3 linked regions of the Saccharomyces cerevisiae S288C genome follow. Changing the gene in region 3 together with the main gene of any one other region gives a genetic interaction. Each region holds a gene or a part of one and is shown on either strand. Other genes may lie near its edges.

Region 1 (2,835 bases), on a different chromosome or scaffold from region 3:
CTACATAAGAAACATAGATAAATTATAATTCACTAATACAAAATCCCTCAATTTAATTAATCAATTTCTTATTCAACAACTAGAGTAGGCACTAGCAGTTTGTGCGACCCTCGGCGCCGGAGAGGTACAAGGGACCTGGCGGTTGGGCCTTCCTGCCAGCTTCTCCCCCCCTTCTCGGCATTCACTCAGCGTTCATTGGCTCAATCACGCGCCAAGCGGATTCCCAGAAAAATACAAAAAAAAGTTGCCATAATACAATGGCGGATATTACAATATATATAGCTTGCGCTTTAAAAAGAAGTGTTAGCACGCATTGGGTGTTTGTACTGTATTCCTCCACTTAAGATAACGAATACACATATAGATATACAATATATTATACGTGGACATCTACGGAAAGGAAGAAAAAAAACAAAAGGAAAAGGAAGGATACCATATACAATGTTGTCAAGAGTAGCTAAACGTGCGTTTTCCTCTACAGTTGCCAACCCTTATAAAGTGACTGTTTTGGGTGCAGGCGGTGGTATTGGACAACCATTGTCTTTGCTTCTAAAGCTTAACCATAAAGTCACGGACTTAAGACTGTACGACCTAAAGGGCGCAAAAGGTGTTGCCACCGATTTGTCTCATATTCCAACAAACTCCGTGGTCAAGGGGTTTACTCCAGAAGAGCCAGACGGATTGAACAACGCTTTAAAGGACACAGACATGGTTTTAATTCCTGCTGGTGTGCCCAGAAAGCCTGGTATGACACGTGATGACTTGTTCGCCATCAACGCAAGCATCGTTCGCGATTTGGCAGCAGCAACCGCCGAATCCGCTCCCAATGCTGCCATTCTGGTCATTTCCAACCCAGTCAATTCTACCGTTCCAATTGTCGCCCAAGTCTTGAAAAACAAGGGTGTTTACAACCCAAAGAAATTGTTCGGTGTGACTACCTTGGACTCTATTAGAGCCGCCAGATTCATCTCAGAAGTCGAGAACACCGATCCAACTCAGGAAAGGGTTAACGTCATCGGTGGACATTCTGGTATTACCATCATCCCATTGATTTCGCAAACAAACCATAAGTTGATGTCTGATGACAAGAGACACGAATTGATTCACAGAATACAGTTTGGTGGTGACGAAGTCGTCAAAGCAAAGAATGGTGCTGGCTCTGCTACGTTGTCAATGGCCCATGCTGGTGCTAAATTCGCTAACGCTGTTTTGTCCGGTTTCAAAGGCGAAAGAGACGTCATCGAGCCTTCCTTCGTGGACTCTCCCTTGTTCAAATCCGAAGGCATCGAATTCTTTGCATCTCCGGTCACTTTGGGCCCAGATGGTATTGAAAAGATCCATCCAATAGGTGAGTTATCTTCAGAAGAAGAAGAAATGCTACAAAAATGTAAAGAAACCTTGAAGAAGAATATCGAAAAGGGTGTCAACTTTGTTGCTAGTAAATAGATTGTTCAAGATCAGAAATAGAGTGAAAAATAGGGAAAAAAAAAAAAAAATTCTACTAATAAGAACGGAAGACTACTCGCCATCATGAGATTACGACATCTTTTTTATTTAATTCTTTGTTATATTTAGCCAATTGAAAGGAAGGAAACTGCCAAAAATCAACTAGAGAAAAATTCATGCTATTCGTTGCTCCTACACCTTTTTTTCTTCCGTAGACGAGGAAAAACAAAAATGATTAAATAGGCGCGCGCGGTGTGATGGTGATGATAATGATGATGATGATGATAATGATGAATAAACGTTTCGGTTTACGAGTTTCTTTAAATATACATATATGATATAAAAAAAAAAATACGTACCACTTACAATTTGCAAATATAGATGATCGAAACTGCCATTTATGGTAAGACAGTGGATGACCAATCTCGATGTGTCCACTGGCATCTTCCAAAGGATGTAATTGCCATCAGGTTTAAATGTTGTGATAAGTACTATGCGTGCTTTGAATGCCACCAAGAGTTAAGTTCTCACCCGCTAGAAAAATATGATCTCCTTGACGATGCAAATAAACACTTGATTATTTGCGGAGTTTGCCGTCATGAAATGACGTTTGCAGAGTATTACGACTACAATTCAAACCTTATTTGTCCCAATTGCAGATCCCCCTTTAATCCAGGCTGTAAATTGCACTACCATTTGTATTTCCAGAACCCTCCCCCCGCTATGTGTTGAGTGTTGTTCTATAAATGCATGCCATCTTAAGCTCTGCTGTGCTCTTCTCGTTAAGGAAAAAATGCGATGGTATATATATAGATATATATATATATATATGTATCTGTATATATATGTTCATACATATATATATATCTATTATTGTTGTTATTATTATCGTGATTATTATTTAGGTCCTCCCTTCTTTTTACCTGTTTTTAATCTACCCTCAAATCCGGCTCTTTTCTTTGGTACGGCACTACCGACATACTTTCTTTTCATCTTTTCTTGCTTATTTCTCTTTTTACCCTTGTTGTCTTTCCTAATCCTCAGATTCTCTTCTCTTCTCTTTTGTCTTTCAGATATCGTGTCTTCCACAACCCTCTTACGTTCGCTCCATTCAATCGCAGACTTTCTCTTTTGTGCTTCCTTTCTCTTTATAGCTTTGCGAAGTAGTTTTTCGTCATCCCTAATCTTAATTCCTTCTGCTTGTAACATAGCCTTTTGCCATTTTTCCTTTTCCTTCTGCTTGATTTGTTCTAGTTCGTCTTTCGCCTCCATCTTATTCTTCTTGGCTTCTAATAACTTTAAGTGTGATTTTACATCATTCTTAGCCGGACCCTTCGTTCTACCAGCTTTTCTTAACCTTTGTAAATCTGAAGTGGCCCTTGCACCATC
Region 2 (3,763 bases), on a different chromosome or scaffold from region 3:
ATTGTAATATGGGCGATGGTTAGGGTGACGGCGACTTATAAAAATAATCACGAAAAATGTGAATTTTATTAGGGCTAAGAGAGGTTCTCTCCTCATATTCTCCTGAGCTGTCACTCATATTATCACCTGGAAAAAATGGTAATGAGGTTGTGGTATTCAAGGGAGAAATTTCCGGAGATGAGCTTTCCCTCCCGCTGTTGATATAATCTTGGTATAGTAAATCTTCTTCCGCCTTTATGGTTGCAATGGATAACTGAGAACAAGAGGCTGATTCTACTGGTCGCTCCTCTTTTCTTTTCATCAATGTATCGGTAGAATTATTCCAAGTGGTGTAGGTGAAGGAAGTTCTATGCTCATCATCGTGTAATGGCGTCTCGTTTAACGTGGTCCTTGTCTTAGCGCTTTTCCACTCTTTGGCCAAATTATCTTCAAGCTTTTGTGTTTTTGAACCTAAGGTCCTATCATCGGTATTTAATGTGAATGTGTCATCTATTATGGGAGGCCTGCTAAAAGGCTCTGGTTTTGGATAATTTTTAAATTGTAAGATATCTGAGTCAGCCAGTGCTTTCCCTAGTCCGTGGTTACTAAATTCCCAATAGTTAAAATCTTGTAGCGATAAGTCATATGAGCTATCGGACATGTCCTCATTAGTTTGGGAATCAGGCGGTTCAAAGAAATAATTAAATGGTTCAATTTCACAATCAATTGTTTCAGCTTTGAAAGTTTGGGATACAGGTTCGGTTTTACAAGCCGCTTTTGTTTCAAACGATTGATAAAATTTGTGCTTTAACGGGGAGTCGTTGTAGTAATCTGTATCTTTAATGAATTTTCTGAGAGGCTTTTTAGAATTTTCATTATTTTTCGACATAGTAACCTCTGCATTGCTAGCCCCCATTTTGGAAGGCCCAAGATTGGAATTAAATATCGATGAATTCGAAACCGCACGATTTAGATTTATTGCTGACAAAGAGATCGTTATTTCATAGTTTTTATAGTCATTATTATCGTAAAATGATCTATATTCGAAACCATTTACATCATAACGACAACAGAACTGCAAATTCAGGAGACAAGTAGTTTTCCTTTCAAAAAAGTTAGTGTAAATCAAGTTTTTTGATATTAGATTTAACTTCAACGCAGATATATCAATAATAAATTTGAATTCGTCAACATGAGGGGTGACAGACTTGTTGTAGTGTGCATTAATATAGTGAATATCTGCCCAGTTATTTAAAGTAAATTTTATCTCTATTTTTTTCTCGAAGTTCAAATTATTGACAAATATAAGGCCCCAGATTTGACAGTTACCAAAATTATTGCTACAAATATCCTCGTAGCTTACAGGATCAGATAGTTCTAATGAATGAACCTTTATATTTTGTCCATTTAAGTATTTGAAAATCTTGTCTTCCAACCCAGTAACGTCCACTTTATAGTCACTTTTGAATGGATTCAAATTATTACTGACCAGTTTCCAATCTGCCATATCGAATGTCTCCTCTTCACCAAAGCAGAGAATCTCCTTTTCAATGAACATGCTACGATCATGCATAAGCATTGCATTATCCTCTACGTCACTCTCGTTGTCATACTCAACATCCTTATTGTCATATTCTAAATCACTGTAATCTAAAATGTCTAAACTATAACGATGATCTTCACCTCCAATGAAGGGGAACGTTAGTGGAATGGCATTGTTATGCAAATTTCTTGTAAGATTTGAAGCGGCTTTTTCTGATATCGAGATAGGCGCCAATTTTGTGTTGAACTTTTTGACTGTGTATAAATGTGCAGCAAACCTTACCGATTTCCCTGATGATGAAGATGATGTCGACGAAGATGCAGATGTAGAGTCTTCTAGTGGTGAAAATGAATTAGAGGTTGTTGAGGAAACAAAAGAAGAAGTGGAGATTGTTTTTGCGAGTTTCAAAGACGGTTTAAGCTTCTTACCATGGCTGTAAGGCATTTGTAAAAACAAAGAGTAAAATTATTGACCTTATAACAAGCGTCAAAGAAACGAGCATAGAAGTATTATACGGCCTTTATTTGTCAGATTATACTCCAGACTTAGTAAAAAATTCAATTAAATTCCAAACTGCTTACCCCAGATTTAGTGAATAAGAGCCCTTTATTCTACCCGCTTATCTCTGGATGTAAAACAAATAAACGCGTAATAGAGCAGTCAAACTAACAGCAGTAAACTGTCAATATCAAAAACGTAACAATTGATTCAAATCAGTTTATTCTAAGCCGCCTATGCCAGCCTTTAATTTTCTTCTCCTCCTCTTCACTCCCAGGTTAAGCCATTTAGTTTGTTGCTATGCGGTGTGTGGCGTGTTTCCCTTTTAGGAAAAGTGATTACTTGCAGTTTCGCGAAATCTCGAAGAATTTTTTCAACTTATTGAAAGAACATGAATATACTTGTTAACGTGATTAAACGTTTTATCAGAACAACCTAAGAGTATCTCCTTGGTGAATTAGAAGCCAGATAATGTCATTTGATAGACCGGAAATATACAGTGCTCCTGTTTTACAAGGAGAATCTCCTAACGACGATGATAATACTGAAATCATAAAGTCCTTTAAGAATTTCATTTTGGAGTTCAGACTTGACTCGCAATTTATTTACAGAGATCAGTTAAGGAACAACATCCTTGTGAAGAATTATTCTTTAACGGTTAACATGGAGCATTTGATCGGATATAACGAAGACATATATAAGAAACTATCAGACGAACCTTCAGATATCATTCCATTATTCGAAACCGCGATCACACAAGTGGCTAAAAGGATAAGTATTCTAAGCAGAGCTCAATCTGCTAATAACAATGACAAAGATCCAGAAAATACTAGTATGGATACTGATTCTCTCTTATTGAACTCTTTACCAACATTTCAATTAATTTTAAACTCCAATGCAAATCAGATTCCATTGAGAGATTTGGATTCTGAACACGTCTCCAAGATTGTCCGTTTATCAGGTATTATAATATCCACGTCAGTTTTATCTTCCCGTGCCACGTACCTTTCTATAATGTGCAGAAATTGCAGACACACAACATCAATAACAATCAACAATTTCAATTCTATCACAGGCAATACCGTCAGTTTACCACGTTCTTGCTTATCTACGATTGAGAGTGAATCTTCTATGGCAAACGAGTCGAATATTGGTGATGAATCGACCAAGAAAAATTGTGGACCTGATCCATATATTATTATCCATGAGTCTTCAAAGTTTATTGATCAACAGTTTTTAAAATTACAGGAAATCCCAGAACTGGTTCCAGTAGGTGAGATGCCTAGAAACTTAACAATGACTTGTGACCGATACCTAACAAACAAAGTTATTCCTGGTACGAGAGTCACTATAGTAGGTATTTATTCCATCTATAATTCTAAAAATGGTGCCGGATCCGGAAGGAGCGGGGGTGGAAATGGAGGAAGTGGTGTTGCTATTAGAACACCTTATATCAAAATATTAGGTATTCAGTCCGATGTAGAAACCTCCTCTATTTGGAATTCAGTAACTATGTTTACTGAGGAGGAAGAAGAGGAATTTCTACAGCTAAGTAGAAACCCGAAGCTTTATGAAATTTTGACCAACTCTATTGCCCCCTCTATTTTTGGTAATGAAGATATAAAAAAAGCCATTGTATGTTTATTGATGGGTGGTTCCAAGAAGATATTACCCGATGGTATGAGGTTAAGAGGTGATATCAATGTACTATTATTAGGTGATCCAGGTACCGCCAAATCTCAA
Region 3 (3,763 bases):
AGTTTTAGCATCGATGAAGGAATAGGAAAAAAAGAAAATGTAAAGAATGGTAGCGTCACCATAGGCAAGAGTAAAGCCACGATCGATTTCTCCACCATGAAGCTGATTGATTGTAATTCGAACCCACTAAAGGGAAGAGTGGAGAGCATACTAAGCATTGGCCAGAAATTAACAACTCCATTGTGCTGAACGTCATTACTTACCTTTTTATTTTCTTGTATGTGCTTTCATCTGAATTATTGGTGGATTATGTAACAAGTTGTTGAGTTTTCCCCATATAACTACTTCGCCAAGGAAATGGTAGGTGCGGGGGCGGAGAACGCAAACCAGCGTATCTATGGCTAAATAAGGAAGAAGCAACAACACTGTTGTAATTATGAGGCATACATAGACACAGATTCGTACATTATTTCCATAATACGTAGGAATATTACTCAAGGACAAGCGGATTTCAACCTTAAAAGGTGAGGAGTAGCTGCATGAGCATCGGTGACGGTGATTTCACCTTACTTTTTCGGAATACGAATGTACACAAGCGGCACAATAAAGTTTAACCAATCTTGTTTTACGTAGCTATTTTTATTACTCTTAGTTTTGTGTGTATCTGCAATGCTACGAAGCGCCTCCGTAAACACCAATAATCGGTGCTGGAGTACTCTTATCACAAAAAGCCCGAGCACGCACCATGTAATTTCCGAGATCTGTTACGCAAACAAAGGAAAGGCGGGAGTACCACAGCAGTGTCAAGGTCTATTGACGCACCCCGCAGGAAACGGCTTACGTAAGCTCCGTCATACAAAATGCGTAGAGACCATGCATTCTCCACACATCGTATTGAGCGAGTAGTGGGATGTGGTGGCTTCTTCTCGGTCCGAAAACTATATTTCTTCCGCGGAAAGACGCGCTGCTCCAAAGCGGCGACAAACCTCTTTTTTTTGCCCCTTCTTATGAATGCAGCAAATGAAGAGCGTCCTCGTCCGTAAGTGAGATGGCGTGGCGTGGATCTGCAGGCTGGTAACAGCCAAGCTAAAAGAACACCAGACAGACAATCAAGGAGGACGCGGCGAAAAAAATACTCACTGGGTTATGGGCGGTTATCTGCAGCAGAGTGGGGCAGTGGCCTAAAAAACATCAGGGGGTGAATCAACGTACGTCAAATCAACAGAAAACTACTGCTAAAAGAAACGAATACAACCCGAATCAACAGTTTTTCTCTATTTGTCGCAGTCTTTCCTCTCTAATTTTACTTTTTTTTTTTTTTTTTTTCTTTGATATCTTAGATTCCCTTCCCTCCCTATCTTTTTTTTTTTCTCGCAATCTGGGGAAAGCTTTTCTCATGCTTATACGTGATTTGTTATATAAGGGATTGCTATTTCAGGCATCATTCACCTCCTTTTGTATCCTTAGTTTCACTGCATTTGATATATATATATACGTATCTGTAGTTTCCTTCCATTACATAACGCATAATATACTATTTCCATAGTCTATCTTACATCTTTTTTCTTACTTTTGTTAAGGAACGGATAACGATAAAACAAAAAGAGAGATTTAAGATTACTTCTGTAACTTTTTTGATCCATTACCAAAACTATATTTTTTTTCTTTTCTCTCCTCTGGCATTAAACACAGTTATTGCTACAGCTAATCATCGATATAATAATACATCACATTAACTGTCTATAAGAGGCTGGTACTTAGTAGATGGTGAGAATTTTTTATTTTTGTATTTTAACTTCATTTTTGTAAACAAGTTGGAACTGGAACTTACTATAGAACAAGAGCTTAAACCATGGTAATACAAACTGCTACTACGTTATCGCCAGCTAAGGCGAGACCTTCTTTCCCTCATAACGATTTGATTAAAAGTATGTCAGACAGCCTTATAAGTCGCCCCACTCACCCTCCGATTAGGAAATTAAAGTCATCCTTGAAAATATCACACCCTGAACCTATTTCAAGATCAAAGTCAGAAATTTTCTGCACATCACCTGAGAAAAATGTACGTTTTGCTATTGAATTAACAACTGTTAAGAGATTTGATAAAAACGCGGAGCCAAGTTCTATCTCAAATGAAAACTCACCCACATTATCCCCTGTTGATAGCAATACCGCTGCTGATGACGTCCAGCTTTTCAACAATGAGGACTGCTGGTTCAATGATTCTTCGTTGGTCACAAACTTGCTGAAAAATGAAAAGAAGTTTCGTTATATGAATTCCTTAAACAACATGTTCAAGTTGGACCTTTATGATTCAGAAGATGAGGATGATATTGACGAGCACATCAATAGCCAGGCCGAGTATGGGTATACCTATAATTCTTTATCTACCCGAGGAAAAACTTCTGAAAATAAATCTGCTACCTCTTCACTGGCTACTCAGGCAACAAATATATGTGATTGGAAACTTCACTGCACAGACTTGGTTCCCTTCAAGATAGCCCCTCCACTATTTACCAAAACATTATCGGCCTCCGATTTGCAAGGTCAGCTCACAAAGTACTTAAATGGCCAAAATGTAAAACTGCATTCTCTCACTCAATTAGGCGATGATTCAAGCAAAATTACAGGTCTAGTGTACGTCAAAAACTTGAGTTTTGAAAAGTATTTGGAAATTAAATTTACGTTCAACTCTTGGAGAGATATTCATTACGTTACCGCCAACTTTAATAGAACGATAAATTCGAATGTTGATGAGTTTAAATTTACAATTGATTTGAATAGTTTGAAGTACATTTTACTCATCAAAAGAATCATTACTATGGAAAAGAATACAAGCAGCTGTCCACTCAACATTGAATTATGCTGCAGGTATGACGTTAATAATGAAACATATTATGATAATAATAATGGTAAAAATTATCACCTTTTCATGACTACCTTCAAGAAGGGCGGTGAAACGAAGGAAAAGATTCCAGTTGTCGTCGAGCCTGCTTCTCAAACAGATGCAGCCATGTCGCCGAAGGAAATGAAAGCAAGGTTCGTCTCCTCGAATCCCACTCTTTCAAGGTTTTTACCTCAATCAAGAAAGTTCAGCGAGGATACAGATTACTATAATACATCTCCATTGAAACATCTTTATCATAATGATACGACAAGCTGGGTTAAGCCCAAGAGATTGAACGTTGTTTTAGATAAACTTGAAAATGCTACCCCTCCTCCTCCTTCTTCTGCTTTGGCTAACGACACCGCCAGAACTGGTAAAATAACTAAAGATAAGAACAATGTGCTCGCCCCACCAACGGCCAGTAATAGTATTGACCTACCAATATTAGGATCTCAACATCAATCACTATATTCTGGTTCATCGTCATATTCTTCATCATCTTCCTCCATTTCCTCTTCATTATCCTTTGCTTCTTCAAACAATTCCTCCACAAATTCTTCTTCCGCCTCTTGTAGTTTCCCACTTACTGAGCTCGATAATTTTGATTATGCGAACCTATATGAACCTAATGATACCTTCACAACGGCCAATTTGTTTAATCATTCATTAAATTCCCTAATGCCGGAGATTTCTACTCCATCATTCTTCGGAGGCTTTAGAAATGAGAATACTATTAATAACAACGATAGTAAAAATTTGGTTACCTCTTTGGAGGATTCATATGAGGACAAACAAAGTGTTATTACAGATACTACTATGGACGAAAATAATAAAACTTCGACTATCAACAATTCCACAGACACGTTAATCAAACCCTCAAAAGAAAATGGAACAGTTAAGGAGAATAAATCATCTGCAAACAGCACCAGTGCACCA

The links.
Region 1: mutations in GAC1 (region 3) and HOT13 together harm fitness more than expected from each alone (negative genetic interaction), as found in Saccharomyces cerevisiae (one large-scale study listed by BioGRID).
Region 2: of GAC1 (region 3) and PIG1, changing one enhances a phenotype caused by changing the other (phenotypic enhancement), as found in Saccharomyces cerevisiae (one study listed by BioGRID).

The regions. Positions count from the first base shown.
Region 1 is NC_001143.9:278,682-281,516, forward strand, and holds HOT13 (Hot13p), read left to right. Parts: upstream 1-1,827; coding exon 1,828-2,178; downstream 2,179-2,835. Other genes in the region: malate dehydrogenase MDH1, read left to right, coding at 442-1,446; ribosome biosynthesis protein RRP14, read right to left, coding at 2,344-2,835. UniProt on the Saccharomyces cerevisiae protein: Required for the assembly or recycling of the small Tim proteins in the mitochondrial intermembrane, thereby participating in the import and insertion of multi-pass transmembrane proteins into the mitochondrial inner membrane.
Region 2 is NC_001144.5:689,064-692,826, forward strand, and holds PIG1 (protein phosphatase regulator PIG1), read right to left. Parts: upstream 1,967-3,763; coding exon 20-1,966; downstream 1-19. Other genes in the region: MCM DNA helicase complex subunit MCM5, read left to right, coding at 2,492-3,763. UniProt on the Saccharomyces cerevisiae protein: Regulates the activity of glycogen synthase. It is most probably a regulatory subunit for protein phosphatase type 1.
Region 3 is NC_001147.6:668,271-672,033, reverse strand, and holds the start of GAC1 (protein phosphatase regulator GAC1), read left to right. Parts: upstream 1-1,792; coding exon 1,793-3,763. Other genes in the region: cleavage polyadenylation factor subunit SYC1, read left to right, coding at 1-189. UniProt on the Saccharomyces cerevisiae protein: Regulates the activity of glycogen synthase. It is most probably a regulatory subunit for protein phosphatase type 1.